Saccharomyces cerevisiae S288C: one gene and its partners. Changing the gene in region 3 together with the main gene of any one other region gives a genetic interaction. Each region holds a gene or a part of one and is shown on either strand. Other genes may lie near its edges. The genes, in order: HOS2, SDS3 and SPT3.

Region 1 (3,759 bases), on a different chromosome or scaffold from region 3:
ATGTTTGTTGATCCACTTTGGATTACCCTTTAAGCCCACCAATAAATGCTCCTTAGAATGATTTAACCAATGACCCGTACGACCTGTAACAATTGTTCTACCCAGTTGGTTTGTCTTTATCCATGAAACTTCATTTATCACGTTGTAACCCCAGTTATTCAAAGACTCTTTACCCAATTCTATAGCTCTACCCGTCACCCAAAGAAAAATAATACCTTCATCTTGTAGTTCGTGCAAAGGCAAACCTAATAGTTCAATATCGTTGCAAGTACCGTATGGTAGGTTCATATGGATATTCCATGCAGGATCTGCAATAACTACCGAAAACTTTCCAAGAACCCTAAAATCAAATTTCCGCACATCGCAACGGATCCACTGTGCAGGTAAAGCCTTTTTGATACAATGTGCGGAGCAATTGCCCAGAGTATAAAATGGAATGGAAACGTTTGACCGTATTCTTTTATTTTCACTCGCAGTTTCACGATCAGCTCGCTCTTGCAAGCATGACGGAATATATTGCAGGTAATGAATGTATCGACACGTATTTAATTTATGACAGGTATCCAAATAGGAACAATCTCCTAACGAAATATCAGTTTGTGGTTTGATATTAGGGATAAAGTGAATTTTTGATTGAATGCACTCAATTAATCCTGGGTGATTTTCCTGACATGCGGATATTTTGGACCATTGTAAAGAAACGATTTTGTTATTGACAATGTACACCGAGGTGGACAATAGAGATGCATGCGAATAGTCACTACATATCGGGATGTATTCAATGACCTCGGTCGTGTATTTGGCTCTTTCTTTAGCAAGCTGAAAAGATGATGGTTTTTCCCTCAATAAATTTTGTAAGCGATTGCTCAGTTGTTCACGTGGTAACCCCTGGTTGCTGACGTTAACGTCCCAGTTCAGGACTCCAAGCAGTCTACCCAGCAGTTGGTCTTTTTCCGAATCAGCTTCCGGTTTTGTTGTTAAACTCGACACTTTTTCTTCACATGAAGAACTGGACGATTTTAATGTATAGTAGAAGGCATGGAACTTGTTATAGAGAATTTTCAAGGAAAAAACGTCCAGGTAAACAATTTTTTCTGGCCTATCTGCCACTAATAGATTCTGGTCAAATTGAATGGACTGCGGCGTTGCAAATATAATATCCTGAAGATCATTCCAAAACTGTTCAAACTGTAAGACCTCGTCTTTATCGTTTCTCAACTTCTGCATCTCATCATCGTATCCGCCACTGATGTACAGTGAATACACATCTTTGAGCTGTCCAGAAAGCGGTGCTCTTAGGATGTCATCATAATTCTGGATCAGAAAATGTACTAGTTTATCGTTAATCATAGCCTGCTTACAACTTTTATGAATTCAAGTCTGAATGCCAATTCTTATTTTTTTCGAAAACCCCCAATGCTAACTTATATGGTCCGTTTTCTTTACTGTTATCCATCTCCCTTTCCTATAGCTCCAGCGGTTACCGATCTTCCAGAATGCCGGGGAGATCTTTCTCTTTCTTTGTTTATAACAAGTTTCACAAGCACGAAAGAAAGAACAATACTGTACGCCAAAAGCCGCCTAAAGACGCATATTCCCGTCAATTTATGTGACCGGTACCACTATATACCTAAGGCACCTCTATACCAATGTAGAATGCCCTGTTTATACTCTATATAGAGGATTCTCGATGTTCTTTGGGGCATCGTTAAACGTGATATTCCTACTATGTTACTAAATGTTGAACTGAAAGCATCTTGAAACGATTCTAATCAGTTTTAGGTGTGTCGCCAATGTACAGTTATAGAAAAGACGCCAGATTACTCAAGTACGTTAAAATCAGGTATCAAGTGAATAACAACACGCAACATGTCTGGAACATTTAGTTATGATGTGAAAACAAAGGAGAACGAACCATTATTTGAGTTTAATTCTGCTTATTCTCCCAGGGTATCGTATCATTTTAACTCCAAAGTTTCACATTACCATTATGGTGTTAAGCATCCAATGAAGCCGTTTCGGTTAATGCTAACGGATCACCTAGTTTCCTCTTATGGATTGCACAAGATTATGGACCTTTATGAAACAAGAAGCGCTACCAGAGACGAATTACTACAATTTCACTCGGAAGACTACGTGAATTTTCTCTCGAAGGTTTCACCAGAAAATGCAAACAAACTGCCCAGAGGCACACTTGAAAATTTTAACATTGGAGACGACTGTCCTATTTTTCAAAATTTATATGATTATACAACACTATACACTGGTGCGAGCCTTGACGCCACCAGGAAACTAATCAACAATCAATCGGACATAGCGATAAATTGGTCTGGTGGTCTTCATCATGCAAAAAAGAATAGTCCATCTGGGTTTTGCTATGTAAATGATATTGTGCTTTCTATTTTGAACTTATTACGATATCACCCAAGAATCCTTTATATCGATATCGACTTACATCACGGCGATGGTGTCCAGGAGGCATTTTACACCACAGATAGGGTCTTCACGTTGTCTTTTCATAAATATAATGGCGAATTTTTCCCAGGAACTGGTGATCTGACAGAAATTGGTTGCGACAAAGGAAAACATTTCGCATTAAATGTACCCCTAGAAGATGGCATAGATGACGACTCATATATAAACCTTTTCAAGTCAATTGTAGATCCTCTAATAATGACTTTCAAACCAACACTTATTGTCCAACAATGCGGTGCGGATTCCTTAGGTCATGATCGCTTAGGATGCTTCAATTTAAATATAAAGGCACATGGAGAATGCGTAAAATTTGTCAAATCATTTGGTCTACCAATGCTAGTAGTGGGCGGTGGAGGTTATACACCTAGAAATGTATCACGGCTTTGGACCTACGAGACAGGAATTTTAAATGATGTCTTGCTACCAGAAGACATCCCCGAAGATATCCCATTCCGGGACTCATTCGGGCCGGATTATTCACTTTATCCTATGTTAGATGACTTATACGAAAACAAAAACAGTAAAAAACTACTGGAAGACATTAGAATACGATGTCTAGAAAATATCAGATACTTGCAAGGAGCACCAAGTGTCAGAATGGATGCTGAATGCATACCGACACAAGATATAAGTGCCCTGACAGAAGAAGAGGATAAAATCATTCAAGAAATGAATGAAGAAACAGAAGCAGACAGTTCAAATAGGCTAGAAGAAATGGAAAAAGAAAACAGTGGATTGATTGCCTTTTCATAGTTTAAGAGTTTGCTATTCGGTTAATCTCCCGTTTTTTTTTTTTTTTTTTTTTTTATTTTCCTTTTTTTTTTTTTAATGTTTTTAGCATATTATGTAGAGTGTTAAGGCCTTAAAAGTTATTTGCATCATTGTTAAAAATGACATGTATTGTATAAGAGTTCGGCTCTTCGATGCCGTCAGAAACATTTTTGGAAGGTGCACTCCGTATTCGAGACACTTCTGAAACGGACAAGTCACCAAACTACTCTGAAAACAACAAAAAAAAGCCTTTTCTTATAATTTGAAAGCTTCTCCCGCAGCATTATCGATATCGTGAAACTTCCAAAATCTTTCTTAATTAAACCGGACATCAGTGTCTACAACATTAGAGCAAGTCACTCAGTTCATGTAATACATCTGGACAATTATGTCTAATAAAGAGATAACTTGTATCAAACCGTTTAAAATTATTGCTCTAATTTTATTGATAGTTCTAATAATAAACCTCTCTTATAAGTTATTTCTGAGACGCTATTTAAAGTCGACAGTTAT
Region 2 (3,635 bases), on a different chromosome or scaffold from region 3:
AACGTACGGATATTTGAACCACTTATTGAAATGGCCCTCTATACTTCTCATAGTTTTCAGTACGTCTTCTATTTCTTCGTTTCTCGTTAGCATAACGAAAGATGCGTTCATTTTGGAGTAAGCAGGATTTTGCAAGTACAGCTTTGTATCAGTGCAGCCCCGGAAAAATGGCTCGTCTTTGTCAGTCGAATAATCCTGTAAGGAATAAGGCAAATTATTTGGATCATGTACAATATCTTTTGCGAAAAATGGCCAGGTCCCCATACAGTAAAGTATGGCGAAGATACATCCTAAAAAGAGGAAACCATATCGTTTTTGTCGACACTTATCCAGCAAGAACCTTCTGACTTTTGGATTCAATCTTATAGCCATGCTAATTGCATCTAATTATGATGTATATTCTAGCCCTTCTTTGGTACAACTGTGCCTATAATCACAGATTGTTAGCCTGATGTATACAGTAAATTTTAGCCAATTTTTTTTTTTCGTTTTCCACTTGTATCCGAGAAAAGAAAGCAAAAACAAAAAGAGCTCACATTGAAATATAACCATCTAATGTAATATAATACAAAGTTAAAGTGGAAGGTTTGCAGCATAAAATAAATTAGTCAGACCTTAGTCTGAAAGGAGCCGGAGGCTGACCTGTTAATTCTCTGATCAAGGAAATATCCTCTGTGACCTCATCTGGTTTCAAAGACTGTAAAGGTGGAGCTGTTTTGGTGGAATATCGTTGAGCACCACGGTTTTTTTTCTTTTCATTCCCATTAGCATTGTCTTTGGGGTTCTTTTCGCCAAACAAAAATGCATATAGATCAGTACCTTCATTTATACCTTGTAGAAAATCTGAGTCAGAGTTCATGCCTGACTTGTAGGTTAGGTTGTTGAAATGGGGGAATTGCGACCCTTGTCTAGAACCATGGCCATTACTTCCAGAACCATTACCAGTTTGAAAATCAGATTCATCTTGATTGTTGTTGTTACCTCTCGTGTCTTTAGAAGCATTCCTTCTCCTTAGCGTTCTTCTATCGTTTCCAGCTCCCGTGTCAGTAGCACTTTCGTTTGCTGTATCTCTTCCATATTCGTTGGACGAAGAATCCCAACCACTTACTGTGTGACTTCTCGTGTTCTTCTGGTATTGCGGTCTGCTATAATTCATGGCATAGGAGTGCACATTGGCCACATCCATTAGTAACCTCTCCTCCTGTAATTTCTTTATTTTTTGCTCTATAGACGAATACAGTCTTTCTTTGCATAATTTAATGAGTTTCTCGTGTTCAGCCTTAGCCTTTTCAATATCTTCTTGAAATTCGATACCGGAACGAGAAACACGGTACTCTTCAAACAGGCGCAACCTGACTAACTCTAGATCTCTTTCTTCCTCCAAATCTCGTACTTGGCGGGCATATTGGCCATTATCACCTTGATGCAGAGAAGTTAAATCCGTTTGCAATGCTGTCAGTCTATCTTTATATTGATTATCTCTTTCTGAGTAAAAATTTTGATAAATCTTATTAACTTTAGATTCGATATTAAATCTTCTTTTGTCCTTGCGGGACAAGTCCTTGTTACTAACCTTTTGAATAGCCATCAATCTTGAAGACAATGCACACTGAGCTCTACAGTTTCTCTTGTTCTCTTAAAGCTTTTCCAAGGGTTCATTTTAGCTGAAAAATTGTTTGCGTTTTTTCTTCCTGAAATCTCAAGCGAAATGATCAATACATAAGCTAAATTAAATAATGAGAAAAAAGATACCTGAAAACATAATTAAGGCATAGAAGAAAAAGATTTGATAAAAGATAAATTTTCAGTTCAATAAAAAGGTTTACATACATCTAATTTTTTTTTTTGACGCAAATTTTTTTGATTACAGACAAGAGCTATGTTTTATTTCGTAGCTAGCTTAGTTTTCGAATGCGCCACCCATTTGTCATGGCGTGCGATGACTTCTGGGATTATCATCTCTTCAATGCTATGGTGTTTTTCATCCAAACGTACCCAATCTCCCTTTCTGTTTTCAGGGGATACGAAAATGACCTGTTTGTTTCTTGTCTGTAAAAGGTTTCCGATAACCAGTTGATGGTTGTATCTATCCAGGGCTTGTGTACATTTGTAAAGCAGCATGGATTCATCAGTTTCTAATTTGAACGAAACGATCATCGCTTGAGTGGCCCATGATTCCACTAATCTTCTCAAAAACTTAGGGACAGGGTCAAGATTCACAATCAGTTTACCATCAGGCGTAGTCCTAGTTGTACCTTCAGTGTCATTATTTGCTCCCATCTTACCGTTGTCTCCTGATTGAATCTTGTGCTGAGGTAGTCTTGAATATGGAACAAAAAAATCACTGACAGCAGCAGCTAAATAAAACAAGCAACCACTATTATTCAATAGCTTGGCTATACTTTTCAGTGACCATAAGTATTGGTTGACCGTGGTGAATGGTAGTAAAAGTAGTTTCTCCTCTTTCTCCATATACTTGTCATAAAGCTTTTTGTTCTTCAAAACATTCTCAGCAAATTCAGGTTTGATTTTACCTTCAGAATCAATGTAGTCCAAGAATAAAGTATTAATGCTATGGGAGAAGGACCTATTATACGGAGTTAATGAGAATTCCCTATGTAAGAAAATAACACTATATCCGTTCGCTAAGAACTGTTCAGCACTCGATGCACCACGAGTACCTGCAGAAAAATTATCGATAAAACGTACTGTATTGTTTTCCAATGGAACAGTAGTACCACCAGAGGTGATAAGAACTATTTTGTTCCTTTTCAGGGAATACTGCAAATCAATAAACTCTTTAGCGTCCTTAATCAATTCATCGATATAGGCAGGTTTAGGGTTAGTTTTGAAATATTGCTCTTCTTCAGTAGTGTAGGCAACGGGAAAGAGCTCTTCCTTGATTGTACGATCAATTGCATGACTTATTTCAGTAACAGACGTATGAATTTGAGGTCTGTTGAGCACGGGTAGAGGTGGCATTGCTATAGTATGAAGAAAAAAAGGAGTGTCTGCTGCTAATCTACACAGTTTATGACAACTAATAAAAGCGTTGTGTGCGTAATTGTCTTAGCCTCTTATACAGATGTCCTGTTGATGACAATGCCTTTAAAAAAAAAAAAAAAACGTTAACAATAGGTCACTCCTCCAGTTTTTGTCGTTTGGCGAATTCGGGTCATCGAATTCTTCCCTTGCCAATAAAGTTGGTGGAAAATACCCAAAACATCGCCTACATATCAAATCCGCAGATTTCAGGCACGCAATTTAGAGCCTACCATCTGTTCATAGTTAGGTTAGGCCATAGGTGGTCATCGTCGCCTCTACTTTCTTAGCATAATCAGGTTTTTTTCTTGATTTTTTTATCATAAATTGTAACTCCGATTTAAGTAGAAGTGAAAAAAAAAATACCCTGTTAATTGTCACAGCATCACTTCTTCCTGTTACTTTCAAAGCTGTAAAGTGTTAGCATCTTTGTGCAAGAAGTAATAAGAATTTAATTGTTAACAGGGTTTGTAGCACTGGTATACGTTTTTCCATATCATGGAACATGTTGTATCTCAAAATGAGATATGTCAGTATGACAATACGTCACCCTGAACGTTCATAAAACACATATGAAACAACCTTATAACAAA
Region 3 (3,673 bases):
GTAGAAATGTCCATAACATTTCCTTGGTAAGGCACTAACTTAGAGTTATTGAAATGCTGTACTGCTTTTACGGCTGTGGTAGACTTCGGTTGTTTAATATCTTTTTGTCTAAAAAGAAATTGCCTGTTTAAGTTCGAAAGGTCAATGGTGTCCAAATCGACAATATGTATTTCACCAAATTCCATCAAGATTATATCCTTTAACAATTCAGACCCTATGCCCCCAGCACCGACCAGAAGACATCTTGAGGACCGTAATTTCTTGTAACTATCTTCACCGATGATTGTTACCAAACTTGTTTCCCTTGGCATTTTCTTTTCTTGTTTGGCGTAGCGCTCCTGATCTTGTGTGTCTGTTGAAGTACGCAATTAGTGGATTGCTCATCCAAATATCTTGATTTAGCGTAAACATACTTCGCCTTTGAAAAACTTTAACTTGAAAATAGAGTATAAAAAAAAATTGCACAAAAAATGCGGAAGCCGGGAATCGAACCCGGGCCCCATGCTTGGGAAGCATGAATTCTAACCACTGAACCACTTTCGCTAAGAAGATCTAGCTTACATAGGTTTTGTGGTAATATAAATTCTTGAGACCGTAACCGCGCAAAGAAATACCTAAAATAGTAATTGCTAACTACATCTAAAAACAGACTGAAGCTCACTAGATATGAGACTTTTCTCACATCTTCAAAATAAAGAAAACAATAGCAGGCGAAATTTTTTTGAACCTGGTTATACAGTGCATGCTCCAAAATGTCGTCTTTAAACACTACTTTTTATTCTAAATAATTACTTGAAGGGGGGAAAGAAAAAGCTCAAAAACTACTCTTTTAAGACTTTATTACCGTCCTTATGATATATCATTAAATAGGCTGTGAACCCTTCACCATTCGGATCGCAATTGCCGTTAGAGTCGACCTCACACTCACCGTATTTGAACGTCATGTAATTTCTAAATCCAAAATATTCGTACACAGATTTAGCATGCTCGGCAATAGCTTCAAGGACAATGGCGCAATTTTCTTCGTCTGCTCTCCTTTTGTACTCTTCAAAAATAGTCCTTACAGAACCTCTGATTCCTTTCTCATTTAAGTTCTTACCAATACAGAAAAGATAGTAGTAATTGATGCCATTTGGAATGACTTGCTTTACGCGAGCATTTAAATCGTCAATAAAGTCCTTGTTGAACTTTGCATCATTACTCCTTGCCTTCGGAACGTGAGGTGGAAGACTCCACACTGCAACAGCATCGAAAGTATTAACTTCGGAGATCTCACCATAAGGTGAATCCAGGAATGGCGATATGATATCGGTGGTTATTGTCCTTGTAGGCACCTTCTCAGCTAGAGGAATATTTAAGATTTTCTTGCAGATAAAATGAAACGCTGGCGAGTTACTAAAAGCAATAGACAAAGTCTCTGCTGCTCTTCTGGCATCCGTAGTCTTGTTCAGGGTACAGACCATATGGCCCTTAGCATCGTTGTTTTCTAATGGAGTTGGCAGTTTGTTCTCGAAGGACATGATGTTCGGTTACATGTCTTAGAATTATTTTCTCGAGATTAGTGAGTGACTTGGCATAATATCAGGTACAATAACTGTTATATATACGCCGGCGGCATTTCATTTTTTTCACTTATCTCAGCCCCTGGGACTCTGATGCCGTTCACACCAACGTCTGCTGTGATTTGGAGTGAAATATCTGGATACTAATAGAAATATTACGATAAAAAAGAGTTATCTACAGTTTGCTGCATTATTTTTGCGTTATCGGTCAATCAACTTTAAGAGATCACCGTACATTTCCGGCAGCATTAGCGGGCGTCTCTTAGTTTCTTTGCAATACAGTAGGAACTCCAATTTTTTGTTCGTCTCCTCGCTACATTCAGATTCAACTGCAATCTCGAAAACAAGTTTTTTATGCCGCCAAAATAGGTATACATTGCGTTCAATGCATTCTCATTCATCTCTATCGCAAGAACGTCTTGTTCAAAGCTGCCCTTTCTTGAGGCTTCAAGCGCAGCGCACAGAAAAGAAGAAAATCCGAACCATGTAATATAGATCGGCGGAAACGAAAAGTAAAAAGTAAGGTTGAAGACACTCTGAACCCGGGGAAGAGTGCATACAAGGTACCGTGCCAAAATTCAAGAGATTAGGGCAGGAATGATGGACAAGCATAAGTATCGTGTGGAGATTCAACAGATGATGTTTGTCTCTGGTGAAATTAACGACCCACCCGTAGAAACCACATCACTGATAGAAGATATAGTGAGGGGTCAAGTGATAGAAATTCTTTTACAGTCAAACAAAACGGCGCATCTTAGGGGAAGTAGGAGCATTCTCCCTGAAGACGTCATTTTCTTGATCAGACACGACAAGGCCAAAGTCAATCGTTTGAGAACATATCTGTCATGGAAGGATTTGCGTAAAAACGCCAAGGACCAAGATGCTAGTGCCGGTGTAGCGAGTGGCACTGGAAATCCTGGGGCAGGTGGTGAAGATGATTTGAAAAAAGCAGGTGGTGGCGAGAAAGACGAAAAAGATGGTGGAAACATGATGAAGGTCAAGAAATCCCAAATTAAGCTGCCATGGGAATTGCAGTTTATGTTCAATGAACATCCTTTAGAAAATAATGACGACAATGATGATATGGATGAGGATGAACGAGAAGCTAATATAGTCACTTTGAAAAGGCTGAAAATGGCTGACGATAGAACACGAAACATGACTAAAGAGGAGTACGTGCATTGGTCCGATTGTCGACAGGCAAGTTTTACATTTAGGAAGAATAAAAGGTTCAAGGACTGGTCTGGAATTTCGCAATTAACTGAGGGGAAACCCCATGATGATGTGATTGATATACTGGGGTTTCTAACTTTTGAGATTGTCTGTTCTTTGACGGAAACAGCTCTGAAAATCAAACAAAGAGAACAGGTATTACAGACTCAAAAGGACAAATCCCAGCAATCTAGCCAAGATAATACTAACTTTGAATTTGCATCATCCACATTACATAGAAAGAAAAGATTATTTGATGGACCTGAAAATGTTATAAACCCGCTCAAACCAAGGCATATAGAGGAAGCCTGGAGAGTACTACAAACAATTGACATGAGGCATAGGGCTTTGACCAACTTTAAAGGTGGTAGACTCAGTTCTAAACCAATTATCATGTAAATTTTTGTATAATTTCATCATGGAGGTGCATGGGTTTCCTTCTGGTATGATAAATGTGAGCCAAATGAATTGAAAAATACAAATAAAGATTATGTACGTAGATACGCGTTATAAAGAGGACTATCTGATCATTGGGGTCTTTTTCGTTGTGAAATTGTAACGGGTGAACTCAGTGATTAAAAAATTGCGTGATGTTGAGATACTATGGGGCGACAAGAAACTTACCCTTAGTATTCAGCATTAACAAATTAATGTTGAGGGCGTCATCTTTCACCAGGCCATTTCATTATAGTTCATATTCTCTACAGAACGGTGATACTCCTGATAAAGGCAGCACTAATAAAAATGAAATACGGACACCTAATAACGCTGTTTGGAAAGAAAATATAGAACTTCAATGGCAGCACTTGAAAAAGAAATTAAATGAATTGTATTCTAGGTTTAACTTCCACCGAGATCAATTATCCTTTCAAGTTAACAAGGCCAAAAAATCAATTCAA

Evidence for each region.
Region 1: mutations in SPT3 (region 3) and HOS2 together harm fitness more than expected from each alone (negative genetic interaction), as found in Saccharomyces cerevisiae (5 studies listed by BioGRID, with this or other methods).
Region 2: mutations in SPT3 (region 3) and SDS3 together harm fitness more than expected from each alone (negative genetic interaction), as found in Saccharomyces cerevisiae (5 studies listed by BioGRID, with this or other methods).

Annotation. Positions count from the first base shown.
Region 1 is NC_001139.9:139,837-143,595, reverse strand, and holds HOS2 (histone deacetylase HOS2), read left to right. Parts: upstream 1-1,869; coding exon 1,870-3,228; downstream 3,229-3,759. Other genes in the region: IME4 (mRNA (N6-adenosine)-methyltransferase), read right to left, coding at 1-1,350; YGL193C (uncharacterized protein), read left to right, coding at 1,369-1,680; YGL194C-A (uncharacterized protein), read left to right, coding at 3,635-3,759.
Region 2 is NC_001141.2:201,672-205,306, forward strand, and holds SDS3 (Sds3p), read right to left. Parts: upstream 1,589-3,635; coding exon 605-1,588; downstream 1-604. Other genes in the region: KTR7 (putative mannosyltransferase), read right to left, coding at 1-372; phosphopantothenate--cysteine ligase CAB2, read right to left, coding at 1,885-2,982. UniProt on the Saccharomyces cerevisiae protein: Component of the RPD3C(L) histone deacetylase complex (HDAC) responsible for the deacetylation of lysine residues on the N-terminal part of the core histones (H2A, H2B, H3 and H4).
Region 3 is NC_001136.10:1,256,537-1,260,209, forward strand, and holds SPT3 (transcriptional regulator SPT3), read left to right. Parts: upstream 1-2,159; coding exon 2,160-3,173; downstream 3,174-3,673. Other genes in the region: E1 ubiquitin-activating protein UBA2, read right to left, coding at 1-311; IAT4 (Iat4p), read right to left, coding at 822-1,520; SHE9 (She9p), read left to right, coding at 3,365-3,673. UniProt on the Saccharomyces cerevisiae protein: Component of the transcription coactivator SAGA complex. SAGA acts as a general cofactor required for essentially all RNA polymerase II transcription. At the promoters, SAGA is required for transcription pre-initiation complex (PIC) recruitment.